Lytechinus pictus: one gene and its partners. The main gene of each other region encodes a partner of the protein of the gene in region 3 in a complex. Links are inferred from orthologs where the notes say so. Each region holds a gene or a part of one and is shown on either strand. Other genes may lie near its edges. The genes, in order: pre-mRNA-splicing factor RBM22-like, pre-mRNA-splicing factor SPF27-like and pre-mRNA-processing factor 17-like.

Region 1 (7,732 bases), on a different chromosome or scaffold from region 3:
GAAAAAAAAATATGTAAATTGTTTATTTTTTTTACTTTACAACCACTTCAATCTTTTGATTTTTCTTATCATTTAAATTGATCAGATTTTTTCACTAACTTTGTAAAGTACAATAATGAGATTTCACTTTACAAAAAATCACCAAAACTTTAATAAGAAACTGGAACAGTTAGCCCTTCCTTTGGACCCCCCCCCTAATTTTTCCTTATTTTTCCCCAAATTTTGTAGCAGCTGGCAGCCAGGGCCAGTACTACAGAAAGTTTTCGAGGCACGTGTCAACTTTCTAAAATCAATACGCACACCCAGAGCAGTTGAGCAGTTCAATGTCATTGAAAGAGCTTTAAAGCCTTTGTTATATCTCATGGATTATTGTTTGTGATGGTTGGATGCACAGAACAGATGCTTTGAAGGGAAAATCTAGGTCCGAAGTGAGAACCAACATGGAAACTATTGTGTAGACTTGAGAGATCTGATTGATCTGAGATTGATATGGAAATAAAAATTGATGACATAATAACAAATTTGGGGGTGTTTCTCTAGTGGTTACTGAGGATATGATTTGTCGAGTCAAGCCCCCTACCCCGAAAAATTGTTATTATAAAATGCTTCTGGAACTTCTCTGCTTAAGTGCTTCAAATTATTCTTTTCTAAATCTTTCAGTTCTACTGAAGAGGAATCACAAGGATCTGTTCTATTGACTGCAGCAAGGACAATAGAATGATTATTTTTTTCAAGAAACATTAATAATTCCCAATATTTTTCCCCATAAATGCCAGTCACAATTATCATAAGTAGCCTAATCATAAGCAATATCATGTTATTAATATTCCCATTCTAAGGGCAAGGCCACTTGTCCACAGGGCACATTATCTACTAGTACACCATAAATAGGGAATTAAAATGGGAGTTAAACAATAAAAAAATGAAAACAGGAGTACCAGTACAACAAATCTTCAAGGCCAATGAGAGGGGCTTCAAAGCTAATCAACAGTGCATCCAAGTCATGGTGTTTGAGGCCTTTAATATTGGTATAATTTCAGTCCTGAATCATGATCACAATTACCAGCACGGCACAAAATATGGGGGCTCAGGCGAAATCGCCCAAAAAATGCCCCAATAGCCCTGGAAAAATTCAAAAGATCCCCTGATATCCCTCTAGAGTCCAATGAACACTGTGGCAAATGTGACGTGTCAAACGAGGGCTGGTGAGCTAAAAAAAAGTAACCCCAGAAGATTAATGATTCATACCTAAAAAACAGTAATCAATATATTTATGTTTGTTATGTAATAAAATACAAATTTTTGCCAACCAAATTTGGTTATCATAAGAGAAAATCTCTCAGCTAAGTCCTGTACAGTGTAAAAATCTGCTACATAAAAAATACCTTTTCTGTTTCAGTCTATAAAAAATGTGAAGCAAAATGCAATTTGATACCAGGAAAATTATTCACAATATAATATAACCACCAGCATCACAATAATAAAAATATCAAAATGATTTGCACAATCATAATCTTCAATTTCATTATGATGAAATTGATGATTATGCACCATGCACCATAATCATAACTTATCATCACCATCATCATCATCATCACCACCCCACCGCTATCATCATAACCATAATCATCACATCATTATCATCAGCAATCACTGTCATCATCATCAGGCCACCACCACCACCACAACCATCACTGTAACCAGTGGCGGACCGTGACCCGGAGGAGACAAAGCATTGGAGGGGCACAGCATTGTTCACAAATAATACCATGAATACAGTGCCCCTCCAATGCTTTAATTGTCTCCTCCGGGTCACGGTCCGCCACTGACTGTAACATTTCATCTTCACCATCATCATTTTGGTACAATCTCCGAAATGCCAGGAGTTCAATCACTTTACCATCATATTCTCAGTTTTTATCTCTCAAATTGTGTTTGACTTCCCCACTTTCAGTTTTAACATGAACATCAATGTTCGATATGCGCAGCGCGGCGTGTGGGTAGAGCGGAAGAACGAATATCACCTGTATCCCACAACGCTGAGACCAACAACCCCGGAGTTCCCCGCGGAGTACATCCCAATCCGCATCACATGCACTGTATTATTAACCTCCAAAATCTAAGCAACATCATAAACTTAAAAACGACGAACTGCAACAAAAAGGTTACTCACTGAATTATCTGCATTCGTTTATATGTCAAGATGGATCTCTTCCTCTGTCACATAAACAGATTCAGATGTTTGTTATCTTATTTCAGCGTAATTAAAGATAAAAGTTCACCGAATACAAAATTTGCCAAATTGACTCCAGGATTGACTTCCAGCTTCTACACACGTAGCAGACGATAGAAAACCTGCGATATCTGCTATATCGCGATTTGCCTATGTTGAGGGCGTAAGTGCAATGGATTCGAATAGAACATGCAATAGGCTTCATTGCTTTTGATTTTCATTGATTGGGGGGTGTAATGTTAACCCGGAATGTTAAAGGGATGGTCTAGGCTGAAAATATTTATATTCAAATAAATAGTGTAAAATTCACAAAGCAAATTGCTGAAAATTTCGTCAAAATCGGATAACAAAATAATTGAATTTTAAAGTTTATAAATATTTTGTGAAAACGGTTATTCGCACATCGTCATGTATATTCATTAGGTGGGCTGATGATGTCACTCCCCACTTTTCTTTTTCTTTTGCTATTACATGAAAACATAAATGTTTCGTTTTTTCATACATGTGTAAATAATGTGTCTCCATTATGATGAAATAAGTTGCGGCAATAAATAACTAATGCACTTAATCAGTTGTCAATCCACTTGTTTTCGTTCTTGGTAGAAAAATTTTGAATAATCCTAATTTCATATAATAAAATACAAAAGAACAAGTGGGGATATGACATCATGAGCCCATCTAATGAATGTTCATAAAGACTTGCCTAGAAATGTTTCACCGGAATAATATGCAAATGTTTAAAATTCAATAACTTTGTTATTTGTTATCTGATTTTGATCAAAATTTCAGCATCTTGCTCCGCCGTAAAGAAGAAGAAAAAGGAGAAGAAGAAGAAGAAGAAGAAGAAGAAGGAGAAGGAGAAGAAGAAGAAGAAGAAGGAGAAGGAGAAGGAGGAGGAGGAGAAGAAGTAGTAGAAGAATATAAGAAGAAGAATATTAATAATAATAATAATAATAATGATAACAGTAATAATAATAATAATATAGCAGGTCTATTGCTTCAGTGTTGAACAAGTCAGCTATCATGCGATATAGGCCTAAACTGCTGACATCGACAAATTTATCAGAATGTCATGTGTACTATATGCCCATACTCATAGCACTCGGAGACCGGGGCTCTTGAAAATGAAACAAATAGAATGACAGTCGATCTTCACAGGAATAATACACACACAAAAGAAAATATATTTTTATTTTCCACTGCACCTGCTTTTGTGTGAGTGCTGTGGTGAACAATCAGCACTGCATATACTCGAAATTAGACATTTCATATTTTGTATTGTTACACCTCTAGCTGTGAGCTAAACTCATTATTTATGTGATGCCATTAAGAACTAGACAGTGAGAGAGTGGGAGACACAATTATAGTGTCATTTTTTTCCTAGGCTTTTTTATGGAGTGGGTGTTTAATTTCACTCAAAATTGTGAGGAGTAGACCTATATACCTGCGCCATTCCGAATTCTGAACAAAACTCATCTCATCCATTATAAATGCATTCAATACATACCAGTCCCGAAAGCTAACAAATTGTGTTCTTCGAGTGATTTTTTAGGTTATGGGCCCATTATTCCTAGGGAGTGTTGCAAGAAAATATTTGCAATTAATTGTAAATGTTACAAGTTATAGATCAATTTTAAGAAAAGCAAATCAACGGTATTCTTGTTATACAAGGAGAAGACAATTGCAAATTTGCAATTAATTTCAAGATTTAAAACTGACATGCAATCGATTGCAAAATTCTTGCAACATCCCATTAAAATCGCTCATTAGAAATACAAATAACGAAATAAGCTTCCAACTGGTTATCCTGTTCAAGCCTATGATTTTAACGCTACTGTATACATGTATGGTGACTTGGAAAATAGAAGCAATCAATCAATCAATCAATCGATCAATCAATCAATGTGGTGGTGCCATGGCCGAGTGGTCGAAGGCGCCTGGCTACACATGGAAAGTCCGGGGTTCGATCCCCGGCCGCGGCACCTATGCCCTTGAGCAAGGCTTTTATTCTACAATGCTATTTTATCCTGTTTTCAAATAAATGGAAATGCTATATTCATTATTGGTAACTAGGTGTGCAATTGTTTTATTAAAAAATCGATGATAAAAGTATGGGTGAGAACAGATGATAAGAATAGTGGGATGAAAAGAAGTCATCAAAAACCTAAAAAGTCTTTGATTCAATGTTACTCTGAAAGTACATGTAATCCTACAAAGTAAGTTAGATGTTCAGAGAATTCTACAAAATACAAACAAAAAACGTATTCAATAACAAATCATAATTGTAAAAATTAACCGAAAAAAGCACTTTAAAAATTAAGTTGAAAAATGAAAAAGATAAATATTTTTACCAAAAACTAAACTGACTAATTATAAGCGATACCGTATGCCTTTATCGCCTTGCTACTTTTATTTTCGGTCGGTAATTTCAGTTTAAGAAAGCAGCACAAGCGATGGCGGTGAGCAAAAGCGCAAACACCTACAATCGACTGAATTGGGAAGAAGCTGTAAGTATTTTACGAATTAATTTTATCTTATTTGGGTCATAATGTGAATCTTCATTATTCCCTCAAGAATTTCATCAACATTCCGTTTGATTTCATGTAAGATTTACAAAGATCCATGCTATTTTGCAATCTCATGTTGTGGAGTAATTTTTGGTTGTACTGTCCCACCTGTTGGTATTCGTGTATTGGTTTCTGTGATGAAGAGAAAAGAAGAAAAAAAAGTGGACGTGTGTGACTCATTGCTCATTGAAGCTAATTGACAGAAATGTCGGTGCGAAAGCCTAATTTTTGCTTGAATGTAACCATGAATATGGATGGAATATATAATCTGAATGTCAACTGTGTGACTGATAGGAAACGTCAGCTGAGCTTGCTCAAATCTTTATGCTTTCGCTTTCGTTTCGGCGTCAACATGAAATGCAGTTCAGCATGAGCAGTTACATGATGTAGTTTGAGGTGCACAAGTCTAGAGTAGCCATTAGGCTCCTAGAGAGTAAAAATTCACTAATGTGTCACGGAGCCAGGCAGTAGAGGCGCATGGCCAATATGGGAGACTCTCTCCAATAGGGGAGACAATCTCCCACATTGGAGACTTGCTTTGCAAAAGGACAAAAGAAACAACACTAACAAAAGCATGATTTTTTCCACCCAAAATTTTGTCTCACTGAGGTCAGAAGCCCATTTGTTTTGTGTGTGATTGACAACAAAAATCCTTATCAAAACAAAAGTAGACGGTGAATTTTTAAAGTAGACGGTGAAAAGGGGTAATTTTTTATGAGGAATCTACTTATTACATTTTTATTTGCCGCCAAGGTAATCCTTTTGAAGCAAATGTAAACAAAGGAAATTGGACTCCAAAACTGGAGACTGTCTCTAAAATTGGATACCAAAATTCTTTACAAAAGTCTCTGATATTGGAGATAATCTCCCACATTGCAGATAGTCTCCAATATTGGCCGTGCGCCTCTACTGCCAGGGGTTGTGCCCATTAATCATGCGCGTAATGTTGTAACCCGCACCCGTTGCGGTACGGGTTAACCTGCCGGTATGCCCCCGATCGCGGGTTGCGGGCCGGGCCGAGTTCATTCTCAAACCCGCAGACCGTCATGCCAAAAAAAAGGGAGAAGTAACGACGCATAATAAAAACATTAACAAAATAATAAATGAAAATTGAGTTAGGATCATGTGCTTCTTACGTGGCGGATTCTTTTAGAGACGTAGATATTTCCTTTAAAAAAAATGCTGGCGTATTTTTGTCTTGTGAACAGTGAACAGAACTGAGACAGTTCGACATAAATACATCGAGTTGCTCTTTTGAAGAAGGAGCGCGCGCGCCAGTGCAGCGCAGCACAGTCTAGTCAAAAGCAATCGCATAGGCCAATGAAACTCGATGTCGAGTTTCCCGTCCCATTTTTTCAAGCTCATAATGAGGATTTCATTATTTTCCAGAAGATGAAAGTTTGACCTTTTGTAACCTTTGAACGCACTTTTATTCTGTGGAACTGTCTTGAAGCCAGGGAGCAAATCAATCATTTTTTTTCGGGGGTTCCATTTTCATTTTTTGGGTAATATTTCAGGGTCTCCATTTCTACCGTTTTGGAGGCTACTTTTTTCATTTTGGGGGCTCTTTTCAAATGCTACGTTTTTGTATTTTGAGGAATCCCTGTTCACTTATTAAATTAATTATTACTTATTGTTTAATATTGAATGATTTTAAAGTTATTTTTTTTCATGCTTAGAATCTTGGATGTGGGTGTGTTTGTGTGGGTGTGACTATGAGTTGAACTTGGATATAAATGAATTCAATATCTAATTTCTACTCCATCTAATTCCAGTACTTGGCCATGTAATAAAGGCCCACATACCCTAACTTTTCCTGATGTTCTTTGAAAACGCAGATCTCCACGAAAATTGCATTTCTCTATGGGGGAGTCTAAATTTGGTGAGAATGAACTCATTAATAACTTAAATATACATGACAATGAAGAAATCATCTAACTTTATTGGCAGTTTTGAATAATATTCCCGAAATATAAACTTTACAGAGCGAATTGTCCCCCAGAGCTCTGGCAGAGAGACAGAGCTCAGACTGGCTAGCTAGTACAAGCGCCAATGCGTACGTGCGTGAGCCTCCCGTCGGCCTTGTAAAACAGATTGAGTTTTGTTTGATGATTTTTTTGTCTGATATGCCGTATGACAACTCACCAATGCGAGGTTACTAGACTATGGGATTTATTGAGGTAGCTCGACCAAACCTCGAGCGATGTTCGTGCAGGCTCCACTCCACTTCACTACCGCTACATCGGGTAGGTAGAGCGTAGTGTAGCAGAAGTGAAGTTGAGTGGAGCCTGCGCTGCACGAACATCGCTCGAGGTGTGGTTGAGCATGCAGTGTCATTCCATTCACAAGAAAAAAACAAGAAAAGAATTACAGGTATTTACATGATATACAAGTAATTGTGACTGAAAAGCTTATATTAATGTTTTATATCAGTTCTGAATCTATATCTATGTCAAAATAGTAAAATAATGAATTATTTTCAGAATTTGATTTTTAAACGCGGTCCAAATTTCATAACGCGGGCGGGCGACGGGAAACCGAACATCGAATTTGCTGGGCAGCCTGGGCTACATGTAGCTAGCGCGCGCTGAGCTGCGGCTCCGATCCGAGGAGTTAATTGCGCAATGCTTTCGATTACGAGATCAGAGCCGACCCATTTCGGGTACAAAGTAACCCCCAAAAACATTTTCTCTCCGGAATAAAAGGCAAATTTGCAAATTGTAAGTAAATTCACTCTAGGCTAGGTTAGTAGTTGGCATATATTTTCGTGATTTGAGCCTGTATAGTGTGGGGATTGCAGAAATAATTTTCACTTTTCAAAGATAAATTTACTTGCGGGTTAAAACCCGACGGGTCAGCGGGTCCCGCTTGCAAATTATTGGATTATACGGGACGGTACGGTTCGGGTTTTCACTTGCGGGTTACAACATTA
Region 2 (7,534 bases), on a different chromosome or scaffold from region 3:
AGAAAAAAAAAGCATTTTCTCGTGATCTTCACATAGATACCGCAGGGTCATCGTGGTTGTAAACTTTTGCTTAAAGAGGGCGCGCGATATTATTCACAAGATGTTTGTTTACTGTTCTGCAGCTTGTACTGCTAGCTGCGTTTTAGACGCTCAGCATTATTTTCCTCTTTCTGTTTTTTTTTGGCTGTCAAGCGGTATTTTCTATTGTAGCGCCATCAGCGATGATGAAATGTAAAGAGTCGCCTTGAAATGAAGAAAAATTATGTCACATTAATTCGTTAGTTTGTTTCCTATTTTTTTGCACTTTTTTCTTCTTCCTCATCTATGATCAAAGGTGAATACCTTTTTTTGATATCTGTTCTAAAAGCTGGACATTTTAAATATTTTGTTCAAGTAAATAAATCAACAGGATAGTAATCAAAATGCGATAGAGCTGCCCGAGCTGAAAATTCTGATACAAGGACTTGAAAATAAAACATTCTGAGCACTTTTTATAACCATGATGAGGAGACCTATATATATTTTATGGCCTCCTTTTCCCTCTCTCTCCTCTACTTTCCCCCTCCCCTGATCTGTCTTTTATTGTCTCTCCTTTCCTTTCCCGCCCCCTCCATTCCCTTTCTCCCTTTTTCCTTTCCCTTCTTTTCTTTCCTTTCTCCCTCCCCTACTCTTTTCTCGCTCTTTCCATTTTTCTTTCTCTCTCCCTTCCCCTCTTCCTTTCCTTTGTTTTCTTTCTATTTTATGGTCTCCTTTTCCCTCTCTCTCCTCTACCTTTCCCCCTCCCCTTTTCCTTTCCCTCTCCTTTTTTGTGCAAACATTAACACGAATATCTTGCCTCCTACACACACACACAAACGCCCGCAATCTAACACACGTAATGCGAAACAATCGGGACATTATCATTTTGTTCATGTATATTTTCTCAATGACCATTTTCATCTATTTAAAGCTTTGAAAATTATTAAACAATGATTCCATAGGCGAAATCTCAATGATCATTAGGAAGGTACTTTACCCATTTTCATTTTATGTCATTGTGATTATTCCATACTAAGGCAACATATTTTGGATATAAAAATACGTGAAGGATATGTTCCTCTTCTGTTTTATACTTTAACAGAAAACATTTTGTTCAACCAAATTATGATTTGTATTTCCAAGTTCCATGTAATATTTTCATTGGAAAATCTCTTAAAGGTCAAGTGCACCCCAGAAAAAATTGTTTGAATAAATAGAGAACTATGTTGATTTTTGGTACAATTTCCTATTATGCGCCGACGACTTGAATCGAGAATATTCGATAGGAAAATTTCGCATTTCGATTGTTGTTTGCGTAATTTCCACCGCAGTACGAAGGATGACTAAGGACGGACCGAGCGAAGTATCCTGGTTGAGATTTGGAGGTAAGCGATAAAAACACTTTAATAAATAATTTATAATTTCTTTTTCAAATAACCTTAAAGTAGGGTGTCTGGAGAAAAAAATTATTTTTCTTATTTCAAGAAAATATCACATTTTCTTTGTGAATTTGAAGAGAAATGACCTTCAGACTGACAGAAATGTAACATTTTGGAAAAAATCCAATTATTGGCTGCAAAAAAGAAGAATGAAATTAGGTAAATTTTCAGCATTTCTCTGCCATAGACTGTGTAGTTAAGAAATGGACACACACAAATCCAAATTTTTAGCTTCCGAGAGCTGTTATAAATTTATTATTAATGCCAAAAACTTGTCCATAAAGAGTCCAATAGGATTTTTTATGCTCTATCTGATGGTATGATTTTTATAAAGATTTTGAAACCAGATCACAATGAAAAATTGCGACAAAGTGAAAAAAATTGTGCAAAACAGAAATTTCATTTTCCCATAGAAAACGCATGGAGAAATGGCAATCTCAACACACACATAAATAAGGCCAGGGTTTGCAATTTATCTCTAAATCCTTATTTAAAAAGATCATATAAACTTGTCCTTACTGTCAAAAGGAGCCCCTGAATTTTCTCTTTCCATACATGCCAAACACAAGTTAATAATCAATTCAGATCACATTTTTCTAGTAGCCTGAACTTCCCCGAAAAAATGTGCCATATTTTCCCTAAATTAGCCTGTTTTATGCTGACACTTTTCAGTGTGGCTTCAGACACCCTACTTAAAGTAAACCATACGATCAAGATTAACATAGTGGAGAAATATTGAAAGGTTTGGCGTAGTTTAGTCCCTCACATTCGTGTGATGAATGAAAACGTCAAAATGCACTATGAAATCACATGTGTTGTGCGAGGTTAGTATACTAACCTCGCATGTTGTGTGAGTGAGTAATACTAACCTCGCAATATACGTGTGAGTGGCTGCAGTTCATTCTCTCAGTCTAACTTAGTCTAGACTTAGAGTCTTAAGACTAAGACTAGTAAGAGAGTAAAAATCATTTGCTAACGACTAACGTATGCTTACTCTCTACGGAGCCAGGGATTGTGACTTTTGACTTTTGTGTCCCATTCATTTGCGTGTACCAGTTCTACCACGAAAAAATTGAAACTTTCGCCCCCGAGCTAGAATAGGCTTCAGTTTCACTTTCAGTTTTTTCCCGGTACACGCACATGAATGGGGTTAACACCATCCCTGGCTCCGTGGAGAGTACAAGCATACGCTAGTAAATGATTTTTACTCTCTAGGAGTCACTAGTGCTAGGAGTCTCCTGGCTAGGTCCACGTCACTCACACTCCAAGACACAGTCACAGAATTGTTCCTCGAGTTGAAAACTAAACACCAAAATTAATACCTGGGACCGAAGTCACTTTCGCTCGCAGTCTAGTTTTGCCAAGGCAAAGACGACCCCCCAAAAAAAGAGATTATTCCAAATACCAACCGCTTCTCTGACTCCTGGTTCATCGTATCCCTGGTCGACATAGGGCAAGGCATCAACTATTACTTCTCCCGCCATATTTTCTCAGTTAGAATTACGAAAGAGGCCGACGAAATCAAGGCTTTCAAGCATCCCGTTTGCACTACAAAAAGTGAAAACGCCGCATAGCGCTACAGCTGGAATAGAGGGCGCTACAATGAGGGATAATTTTGATGGGGGGAGGCTTTCTTTGGGCAAAATTTGAAGAGAAAAAAAATCATAATTCTGCGGTCTTCGCCAATTTTTCTGACAAAATTGAAAAATCGTGAGCCTCAGATGCATCTGAGATTATGGAGATTAACCTCAATTACCACAGTCTACTGATTTTCCAATTTTGTCCACAAAAATCCCTGCAATTAAGCCTTAGCTCAGAACTTAACTGTCACTCAACGCTCGCGATTCCTATGGTTTGCCTCCCCCCCTAAAAAAATTAAAACTTGCATTTTTTTACTCAAAGTGATCACAAAATTCACCAACAGTGTGCACAAAATCCTTCAATTTCACTTTTAAAAATGCATAAGTGCCCCGAAGACAAGCTTGGTTGGTTGCTTTGCCCCCGATCACTTTGGAGTGTTTAAAAAAATGTATGCATCTTTGCCCCCCCCCCCCTGAAAATATTCTGTGTATGACCATTTTTGGGACACATTCATTAATATGATCTAATAATGAATTGGAATAGTGACATTCACAAATTTTTTTTTTTTTGGGGGGGTGCTGAAACAGGCAAAAGATAGACTTTAACAAAGAATGAGGAAAATCAGGTATTGCTATGATTGATCAGTCTTTATTTACAAGACGTCCAGTATCCCCCGGCCACTTAAGTGCTTTGCACAATGTAACACAAACGGTACATTTACAATCAATATAGATGCACCCTGTGCTTTGCTATAAATCTATCATAATAAATAATGACACCACAGAGATAATTATACCTCTTTCCATTAAAAAGTGACAGCCATCACTTGGTATACAAAGTTAACAAAATTGACATCATATGTAATTTCGTGAAGATTCACAGACATAATTCTTGAACTCTAACATGTACACCTGCAAATGTAAGTGATTTAGAATTTAGTTTTTATAATAATGTCCTGTAATTTTTTCTGATATCCCTATAAGTAAACCATGACATATTACCAAAATGAAAATAATTCAGACACACCTACCTATTTCACACTCACTGCTTGCTTACAATGTACATGTACGACATATACAGTGTATACAGGAATTATTTGAACACTATACATATAAAACGCAGTAAAAGGAGAAGATGCTGAAGTCAAAAAACTTCTAACCTGGCTGTCATTATACACAGTTAATTGATTTCATATGGAAGAGATAATAATAGCCTTGTTTTTCACCTAGTTGCAAATTGTGACTGATCAGTCATGCATTAAAGATAATATATCATGAAGTGCGATAATGCATATTTTCGGACCTTTCTGTCGTCATCTACGCGTAAATCACAATGCATCAATAATCATCACACTTGTATTTATTTCGTTCAATTAGTTAGAATATATCTAAGACGCACATGTACATGTACTTTGACAATTAATCTTGGGACGACTGCAGTTGTTTACACATGACTGGTGACCCTATCTTAGGCTAAATGATATATCACATGTAACTGACTGAGCACCTAAGAACATGTTCCAGTTATGCGTAGTCATGCGTAGCTTAACGCACAAAGACAGCTTTATGAAATACCACCCAGTTTGGAGTAATTCCAATCGTGAAATAATAGCAACAACTGAAGCAGGCTCAAGCAGCACTTCAAAACATTATATGCAAAACACATCATCTATCAGTTTTGAGTTGAATTTTCTCCCAAGAGATTCAACCTAGTACTGTGACGTCATAATTGCAAATTTCTACTTTATAATCTACTACTTCATGAACACATGTAATCAGCTGCATAAGCATTTGATGCTGAATCTTACTGAACCATATGTGAACCATACATAGTGTGACTGTGAGCCTGTAAGCTTTTGAATCTTCACTCTTAGGAATAAGGATGATAGATCACAAAATTATGCTGAAGAAGAAGACATGTCTATAAAGCAAAATTCAAAGTGGTAAGTTATACCCAAGCTAAAGTTAAACCTTACAAATAATTCATAGTCGTTTTATTTAAGTAAATCATGTACATGTGTTTCATCAACATTTCTCTGACATGTTGTCTGGTCCATCACTTTTCTGGATTAAGATTGGCTAAGAAATTTAGCTGTCTGTTACTATGGTTACAGTTGGATAAAACAGATTTCACGGGATAAAACATATGACAAATACTATTATGAAACACTCCACTGGGGTTTAAATAATTTCACTTTCCCCATATTAGGATATCACAAAAATAGCAAATTTAGAGCTTGAATATTTAAAATGACATGATCTAATTGCCAAACCTGGCAGTGGAAACACGACATTAACTGTAAACTGTATACAGAGATAAATATGGAATCCTTATCTCAGCATTATGAACTTTAGGAAACACAACCTCAACCAACAAGACAATACAAAAACAAATCAAATCAGTAAAGTCAATAAATCTTTGAAATCCTTATCTTATCTTACAATGTTTTTAACATAAAGATACAAAAAAATAATAAACAGCAAGATATCTTTAAACACAAAAACTAAATCCATACTTTAACAGAACAGATTGCTGAAAAGGTTATCGAGTTACACAAGGTGAATTTCTACAGTTTCAACTGCCATCGTTCTCAGAGAACATGTATCTATCTATAGTTTGAAGGTATCTCTGTAAAACCAATACAATGCAAGCAAGTCAATATGAGTTTAAAACAAGCTAATCCTGCATTGTGTCGATCATATCAATGACAAAAATAAACAGGGCTGCAGAGAAATTCGCCGAAATATATAAGACATACATCTACATGTAGTGGGTGTTGCAAGAAAATAATTACAACTTCAGTTGCAAATTTACAAGTGATAAGTCGACTTGAAGTAAAGCAAGGTAATATTTGTTGATGCAAGAATCACGCCAGTTATCAATTGCGAATTTCCGATTGATTACAAGACTTGTGATAGAGGGTCCTAAATCTAACTTTAATTGAATTGACAAAAATTTCTTGATTACATAGTCCTCATAGCAAGCATCAATAGACCTTTGTAATCACTACTGGGTCGATTCATATTGAAATTATAATATAAACAGACATATTGCACCTATGATTAAAATAAACATTTTTACACCAAAGGGTAAGCGAAGAAACTGTATTGATAATCACCTTTATGTATTTATGCTTTTAGGATCCTTCAATCGACTTATAAAGGAAATCAAATCTGATCTAAGACGAAATTGTAAGACCACCTGAGAACTGACAAACCTTTGGAAGTCGAAAAATGAGCATAGCCTATGAGAAGCTTGAATATTGTTTTCGTAATTCTACAAGCAATAAGTTCATGGATTATCATCAGTAATGTACATTTTATATCTTGTGTTGTTTTCACATGATGAACTACAATTTTCAAAAATCAATCTTTCAGAGTTAAGAAAGATGAAAATAGTTTGTTTCTAACTGGCCTATTACAAAAGCATTTAAACAATTAAAAAAAAAACCTTCTACTCAGAACTAATTTGTTTTTATTTTCACCAGCAGTAATATTCACATATTGTATTAAATACATGTAATTGATGTACAAATCATATCTCGTTTTCTGCTGCTTCATTTAACATAAAGATAGTAAACTTAGGAAAGGGAAAAAGGGTGTTAGATTGACAGCTATGACCCTTGCCCCTGAACCCTAAAAAGTTGGAAGTTTGCACTATCGTGAGAAGTGATATGTCGTCTAGGGCAATATCATCTACAGGTCTTCAAAGTTATCATTCTCTTGTGCAGACCTATGCCAAACTAAAAATCAATTCAAATACAAGGTAGTTGAAATATCTTGACTTTAAATATGAACACATCCATTAATATTACTAATATTAAGTTTCCACTATAAAAGAACATAACATGTATATCACTTTTAAAATACAAAAACGAATACACTCGAAATTTACATTATACTTCTCAAAATATGAAAGTAACAAAACATGTAAGGCTTTCAACTTTCATCACACTGAAAATCCATCTTTTGCCATTGAATAAATGGATTCACAGACCGAAATAGTGTTCGTAGCTGTATCAAAATGCCTATCTCACACCACTGGATAGAACCATCAGTAGCAAAGAGCAGTACAATACAGTACATAGCTGTGTCTAGCTTCCCAGCCTTAATCCATTAACAATTAAAGCAAATTGATAGATCACTAAAAAGACCTGCCACCCACATACCTTGGAGACACAGGAAGAGCATCTGGCTTAGTCCTGCCATTCTCATGCATTAAAATTTAAAACCAAACTCAAGATGATGGTTAGGTATTACCTTTACAAAGTTATACGATAATTTATACAAAATTTTGTCCTCAACGTGTGGAGCGTTGTGGCCCAGTGGATAAGTCTTCTGACTATGAAACAGAGGGTCGTGGGTTCGAATCCCAGCCATGGCGTAATTTCCTTCAGCAAGAAATTTATCCACATTGTGCTGCACTCGACCCAGGTGAGGTGAATGGGTACCCGGCAGGATTAATTCCTTGAATGCATGAGCGCTGAAAGGCAGCTC
Region 3 (6,927 bases):
CGCCTAGAGTGCCCTAGAGTGGGATTTTGCATTGTAAGTCCCCTAGGCCACTCTAGGCGACACCCCAATACTTACCCGTGCTAATAAACTGGGACTCCACTCACGCGCGTTTGGGCCTCCCTAGCTTAGAACTAAGCACTAATATCACCTTAAAAACTAAATCTACAAGGTATGTATAATCTATTTACAAATTTAATAATGTTTAATCGGTACTCACCGGTTCTTTTGTTGCATTTTCAGACCATTTCTCACAATTCTTCGTAAATATTTGCGGCAAATTTTGTCGCCATAGACAGCTTAGCGTCCATCTTTATTGATAAATGGAGCGCCCTTTACGATAGTTGTTAATGCCGCGGAGAAATCGTTAGGCATTTTGGCCTGTGTTCAAGGCGTTCTTTCTGTTTTATTTTTATATTGAAGATTGTGCATTTGTTGAATAGCGCCGTCTACGTCAGGTATGAGATCGAGTGTATAAATACACTCTTCCAAAATAATTATGATTCCGACCTGGCGCTGTTTAACTTCAATCTCTTTCACCTAAATTAGCGATGAATGCTAGCATTATAAAATATATATTATTAACGTCTGACGAAAAGAATAACCAACCGATCAGCTGACGAGAACGCGAATCACGTGATCTTCATATCAGCTTCGATCGCGAGTCAGAAGAGAAGAGCAGCTGCCCAGAAAATCAGGAAAAAGCCGTGAAAATGTAAGTTCCCCTTCATTTCTTTCATTTTTTGTTGTTGCTAACGATGCATTTACACTATAAAATTATAATTTAAATAAGAGAAAGGAATTATAGCTTGTACTTGTGATATAATGTTTAAATATCCTGTTCTCAGAGATTTCTAACCAAAAATACTACTGATGTCGCCTATGAGGTCCATACATGTAATGTTGGACCTCATTGGTACTAGGAGTGCCCTAGGCCTAATGGTGGCTGCACGATAGCGAGCCGTCTGTGTACGAGGAGAAAATAAAAAAAATGTTTTAAAAAACTCCTCGAAACAGACGGCTGCCAGCTGTCTAACGTTACACATGCAATTAATTGACAATGTGGGATGCACGTCTTCTAACAGTAACATGTCTAAACTTCTAAGTTATTTATAGTTAGGTGGTCTGTCTATGACAGATCACCTCTTAATTTCGTCAGAATTTTCTTTCTTTATTATTTATTTTTAGCACCTATGTTTGTCGCCAACTTTTCTCCGAATTGGCTGAATCATTTTGGCTGATTTTTCTGTCATATATAGAGTCTATCATAGAGACGGCATACTAAGCTTTTCAAGGTCATCTGGTCATGATGACGTCATCTACGCGCCATTTTGTAAAATTCTCAATTTGATCATATCAACATAACGGATCATCAATAATCAACCATATTTACATCACATAAACTTTAAATCAAAGGTCATCTGTCAATGTCATCAAAGGTCATGTAAAGGTCAAGACGCGCGCGTACACGCGCGTCAAAGCCAAAAAAATTCTCCAAATGGCTTATAAATTTTTTTGGGTACGTTTCAAGTCATTTTAAGCATTTCAAAAAAATTGCGCGCATGCACGTATGCGCGCGCGTTTCCGCGCGCAACGCCATAACGCAACGCAGAAACACAGTTTTTTTTACATCATTGCATTGATGATATAATTCTGAGCAATTTGATACCTTGATCAACCTTCTATGACCATTGATAACGAAATAAACACCCGTTAAAGTTTGCAGCACGTGTGCGCGCGAGCTCTCACTACAGGCCATATATGGGCGAAAACATGCCTATTGGAAATTCACTGTAGCTCTTTAAATAGTCCGTTGACCCCCAATTTTTTTTTCAAATGTCGATAGAATATGAGTTGTAGATTTGATTTCATGTCACCATTGTCTCTCAATTTGATCATGACGTCATCAAAACTGCGTTGGAAATCAAAATATCCATTTTGCTTGTTATGACGTCATAACCATTATGCAAATTAGGCTCTAACTCCGTGAATATTAGTTAATTTTCGCCCAATTTTCGATATGTTGTAGCTTAGGTCTTACTCTTTCTGAGTTATTGCCTTTATTTTTCATTTTAATGAACGGATCATCTTGAAAAATTGCAAATAATAAAGGCATGTCATTTTTACTCATTTTGCGTGTAATCTCTATGGGACATAACTTTTTCTCAAAACTAGATTCTACATTCCTCTATTTCGTGAGCTATATCTCCATTTTCTTTTGTCAGTTGTCTCTGAGCTTTGAATATGGTGTAGCTAAGATTCTCAGCTTTCGGAAGTGTGCCCTCCATTTTTTGATCAGATACCGGGATCATGCCCGTTTTTCGCTTGCAAAGTTGGATTTGCAATTCTCAAATTTGCTTACGTGTAATCTCTATGGGAACGTGTAATCTCTATGGGGAATATCGTGGCTCAATGGATAACGCACTTGACTTGAGATCTCGGGGGCGCAGGCTCGAGTCCTGGGGGTGAACAAGGTGATTTTTTTTTCATTTTTTTTTTCTTTTTACCACCTCGTACACGATCCTTTATGGTATTCAAAAGGTATGAAAGTTAAAAATTAGCAAGATTAAACAGATTATAATTACTATTTTCATATCACATGTATTTTCATATATCAAGAGACCCTTTTCACAGTTCTTTATCATCTCCCGACTTTCGCAAGTATTCCATCCATAATGAACATTCCGTTGTCATCATGAAGATCATATTGATCTGCTTGAACATGGAAATAGTGATCATGATGGCGAGAATAAGGACAGACCACCTAATTCGTCCGCATGACGAATTAAAATCTAGTTTTATTTTATTTTTACCAACATCAAGTCAGATATATGGGACAACGTACAAATACTCACGTCACTTGTTTCGTCCACCGTTGGTGCTGCGTTCAATTGTAATTTCACTTGCAAAGATTTAATGGTCCGATCCTTCTCAAGTGGTCTGAGATGTGCCGTCGCATCTTCAGAATTGGACTCCTTATCACTAATATCTCCATCACTTTCGTCACTTCCATAAGCCTGCAAAGCTGAAATCGCTGCCATTTCTATTTGGTAGGCACTTATGATCCAAGTTTGAAAGGAGACTCGTAAAATGACGTCAGTCTCGCCGATGAATATTCATTAGATCGTGGTCGTGCGTGTTCAATACACACTGCGTGCAGGCATGCAGATATATATGCGAGGAACTTTGGCTCCAGAGACAAGTTGTCAAATAACGTGTGTGTGCGTGCGTGTGTGTACCATCGGCTGGTAGTATGCCATGCTGTCTAAGACTTCAATTACGCGTCGGAGAGAGTGCATGGCAATTCGGTAAAACGAAGTTTCCGATATAAAGAGATAATAAAATAACACTGTACAGTACGCCCGGGGGTGCCACTTACATTGACGAGTGGATACCATGCGCAACCAAAAAAACACGTAAAAAGGATGTCTTTTTCAAGAGAGGGCACGTTACGTACGTAACGTGATAAGGGTGTCAAAAACACAAAAATATTGAAAAAAGGGTATCTATTTCCAGTACGTTGAGAGGCAAATGTCAGATCAGGGGAGGCAGGAGTACAATCAGGTTTTTTTAAAGGGAAGAATAGTGTAGAATAAAAGGTATTATATATACCCAAATGATCTAGGTGAGGGAAGTGAACAATGATGTTTTTTAAAAAAAGAATGAATATACCTTACCTGAATATTATGGTGAAGCCAATTTAAAAGGAGGTGAGACAAGTTTCAATGGAGGTTTTAAAAAAGAATAAACTGTATTAAGGTGAAGCCAATTTAAAAGGAGGTGAGGCAAGTTTTAATGGAGGTTTTTTAAAAGAATAAACTGTATTATGGTGAAGCCAATTTAAAAGGAGGTGAGACAAGTTTCAATGGAGGTTTTAAAAAAGAATAAACTGTATTATGGTGAAGCCAATTTAAAAGGAGGTGATGCAAGTTTTAATGGAGGTTTTTAAAAAGAATAAACTGTATTATGGTGAAGCCAATTTAAAAGGAGGTGAGGCAAGTTTCAATGGAGGTTTTTAAAAAGAATAAACTGTACTACAAATTATGGTGAAGCCAATTTAAAAGGAGGTGAGGCAAGTTTCAATTGAGGTTTTTAAAAAGAATAAACTGTACTACAAATTTAAAAGGAGGCGAGGCAAGTTTCAATGGAGGTTTTTAAAAAAGAATAAACTGTACTACAATGGTGAAGCCAATTCAAAAGGAGGTGAGGCAAGTTTCAATGGAGGTTTTTAAAAAATAATAAACTGTACTACAAATTATGGTGAAGCCAATTTAAAATGAGGTGAGGCAAGTTTTAATGGAGGTTTTTAAAAAGAATAAATTGTATTATGGTGAAGCCAATTTAAAAGGAGGTGAGGCAAGTTTCAATGCAGGTTTTTAAAAAGAATAAACTGTACTACAAATTATGGTGAAGCCAATTTAAATTAAAGGAGGTTAAAGTTAGGATTTCCAGTTGCCCAACTGGTTTCAATTGGTTTCAACTGGAAATTGTTAAATTCCAGTTAAAACCAATTGAAACCAGTTAAAACCAATTGAAACCAATTGAAACCAGTTGGAAATCCAACTGGTTTCAATTGGATTTTGGTCCTGGGTTATGGTGAAGCCAATTTAAAAGGAGGTGAGACAAGTTTCAATGGAGGTTTTAAAAAAGAATAAACTGTATTATGGTGAAGCCAATTTAAAAGGAGGTGAGGCAAGTTTCAATGGAGGTTTTTAAAAAGAATAAACTGTATTATGGTGAAGCCAATTTAAAAGGATGTGAGGCAAGTTTCAATGGAGGTTTTTAAAAAGAATAAACTGTATTATGGTGAAGCCAATTTAAAAGGAGGTGAGGCAAGTTTCAATGGAGGTTTTTAAAAAGAATAAACTGTATTATGGTGAAGCCAATTTAAAAGGAGGTGAGGCAAGTTTCAATGGAGGTTTTTAAAAAGAATAAACTGTATTATGGTGAAGCCAGTTTAAAAGGAGGTGAGGCAAGTTTCAATGGAGGTTTTTAAAAAAGAATAAACTGTACTACAAATTTAAAAGGAGGCGACGCAAGTTTCAATAGAGGTTTTTAAAAAGAATATAAACTGTACTACAAATTTGAAAGGAGGTGAGGCAAGTTTCAATGGAGGTTTTTAAAAAGAATAAACTGTATATGGTGAAGCCAATTTAAAAGGAGGTGAGCTAGGCAAGTTTCAATGGAGGTTTTTTAAAAGAATAAACTGTATTATGGTGAAGCCAATTTAAAAGGAGGTGAGGCAAGTTTCAATGGAGGTTTTTAAAAAGAATAAACTGTATATGGTGAAGCCAATTTAAAAGGAGGTGAGGCAAGTTTCAATGGAGGTTTTTAAAAAAGAATAAACTGTACTACAAATTTAAAAGGAGGCGACGCAAGTTTCAATAGAGGTTTTTAAAAAGAATAAACTGTATTACAAATTATGGTGAAGCCAATTTAAAAGGAGGTGAGGCAATTAGTTAATGGAGGTTTTTAAAAAGAATAAACTGTATTACAAGTTATGGTGAATATAATTCAAATGATGAAGCCATCTTGAGAGGTGCATGAGGCAAGTCTACAATGAGGTTTCTAAAAACAATGAATAGTGAAGAAAAAGATCGCAATTGCTTTTAATAATCCACAAAATTGTGTAGTTATTTATTTATTTCATGCAAATTGCTATTAATTGATTATGCTCATTTGTGCATAATTAGTATACTATACCTATTCCTCTAACTCCCTAAATAAAGCTCCAAATGTTCTAATTTTTGGTTTAGAAACTCTTTGTGGTGTTCTTCGATAATGTATTTCTTGTGTTTTTACCTTTGTATTGCATTGTTTTTTTTCAACGATGCTCAGACTCTCGTAACAGCATAAAATAAATCAGTTTAGTTCAACAAAACTAAAAACAATTAGGCATTCATGAATTTTGGTTGAAAACGCATATTCCATTGACGTGGTACACAAATGTCACAATTTTGAGCCATTTTTGTCTGATATGCACTTACAAATTGTTTGGTAATTTTCAGAACCCAGTACCCGGGCTTCGCAAAACTGGTCTCAAAACATGCAAAAGACTTTTTTTTTTAAATCGCAGAGCTCAGAGCCCCCCCCCCCCTGCGTAAATAGGTTAAGTTTGCATTAATTTTGAACTTTTCCATTCCCAAATACGTAATATCCCCTCCCCAAAAATGCAATTGTCACTGAAATGGAATATACATAATATATTTTTTAATAAGCCATATTTGCAAAATAATCATCATGTCATCCTTTGTCAACAAGAAATCTGTACATGTCCTCTGGAAGAAAATAATACCTCGGCCGCCTATTAAATTCTAAGTTTTGATTTTGTAAGTATTTTACTTAGCAATTTGGCTGGCTTATCAAAATGCTTAAACTTGTATGCAGATCAGATCTCAGAATTTACCTTATCCAAATTGAACTAAATACTAATACCCATTGTGATGTTATAAATTTTGAGCCAAATAGTGCCAAATGTGTGAATGTATTTCTGTGCGTATCATTTTTGTATATGTAGACTTAAGTCTAGTAGATGGCTGACTTACATTTAAGCAAAATATTTAGCCAAAAAAAAATGCAATTGAATACCAAAGATGGATAAGTATTTTACTTTTGCAAAATACTGAGTAAAATATACTTGAAATTATGGCTTTAAGAGTAGCATTGAATACCGGCCCTGTTCCTCATCATCATTATCATCCCACTACCACACCAGTTTCTGCAGCACAAACTTTAACTTTCATAGGTTGAGTCCATTTCAAAGCCAACACTCTCACTTTAACTTTCTTTTTTCTCTTATAACACACTGCCAATCACATCCTTACAACACCAACTGTCAGAGGACAACAGAACTGCAGTTACCATAGCATTACCCCCAAAACACCACTCAATTTTGAATTGATCCAAATGAAATATGACTGTGTTGCACAA

What was found.
Region 1: pre-mRNA-processing factor 17-like (region 3) and pre-mRNA-splicing factor RBM22-like share a complex: the UniProt entries of both Homo sapiens proteins name them as parts of the postcatalytic spliceosome P complex. The link is inferred for Lytechinus pictus from reciprocal best matches to the Homo sapiens genes CDC40 and RBM22.
Region 2: pre-mRNA-processing factor 17-like (region 3) and pre-mRNA-splicing factor SPF27-like share a complex: the UniProt entries of both Homo sapiens proteins name them as parts of the postcatalytic spliceosome P complex. The link is inferred for Lytechinus pictus from reciprocal best matches to the Homo sapiens genes CDC40 and BCAS2.

What each region holds. Positions count from the first base shown.
Region 1 is NC_087262.1:21,577,569-21,585,300, reverse strand, and holds the start of pre-mRNA-splicing factor RBM22-like, read left to right. Parts: upstream 1-4,621; 5' UTR 4,622-4,686; coding exon 4,687-4,740; intron 4,741-7,732. UniProt on the Homo sapiens protein: Required for pre-mRNA splicing as component of the activated spliceosome. Involved in the first step of pre-mRNA splicing.
Region 2 is NC_087246.1:47,381,589-47,389,122, reverse strand, and holds the start of pre-mRNA-splicing factor SPF27-like, read right to left. Parts: upstream 3,054-7,534; 5' UTR 2,942-3,053; coding exon 2,867-2,941; intron 1-2,866. UniProt on the Homo sapiens protein: Required for pre-mRNA splicing as component of the activated spliceosome. Component of the PRP19-CDC5L complex that forms an integral part of the spliceosome and is required for activating pre-mRNA splicing.
Region 3 is NC_087248.1:12,678,774-12,685,700, reverse strand, and holds the start of pre-mRNA-processing factor 17-like, read right to left. Parts: upstream 3,080-6,927; 5' UTR 3,039-3,079; coding exon 2,853-3,038; intron 1-2,852. UniProt on the Homo sapiens protein: Required for pre-mRNA splicing as component of the activated spliceosome. Plays an important role in embryonic brain development; this function does not require proline isomerization.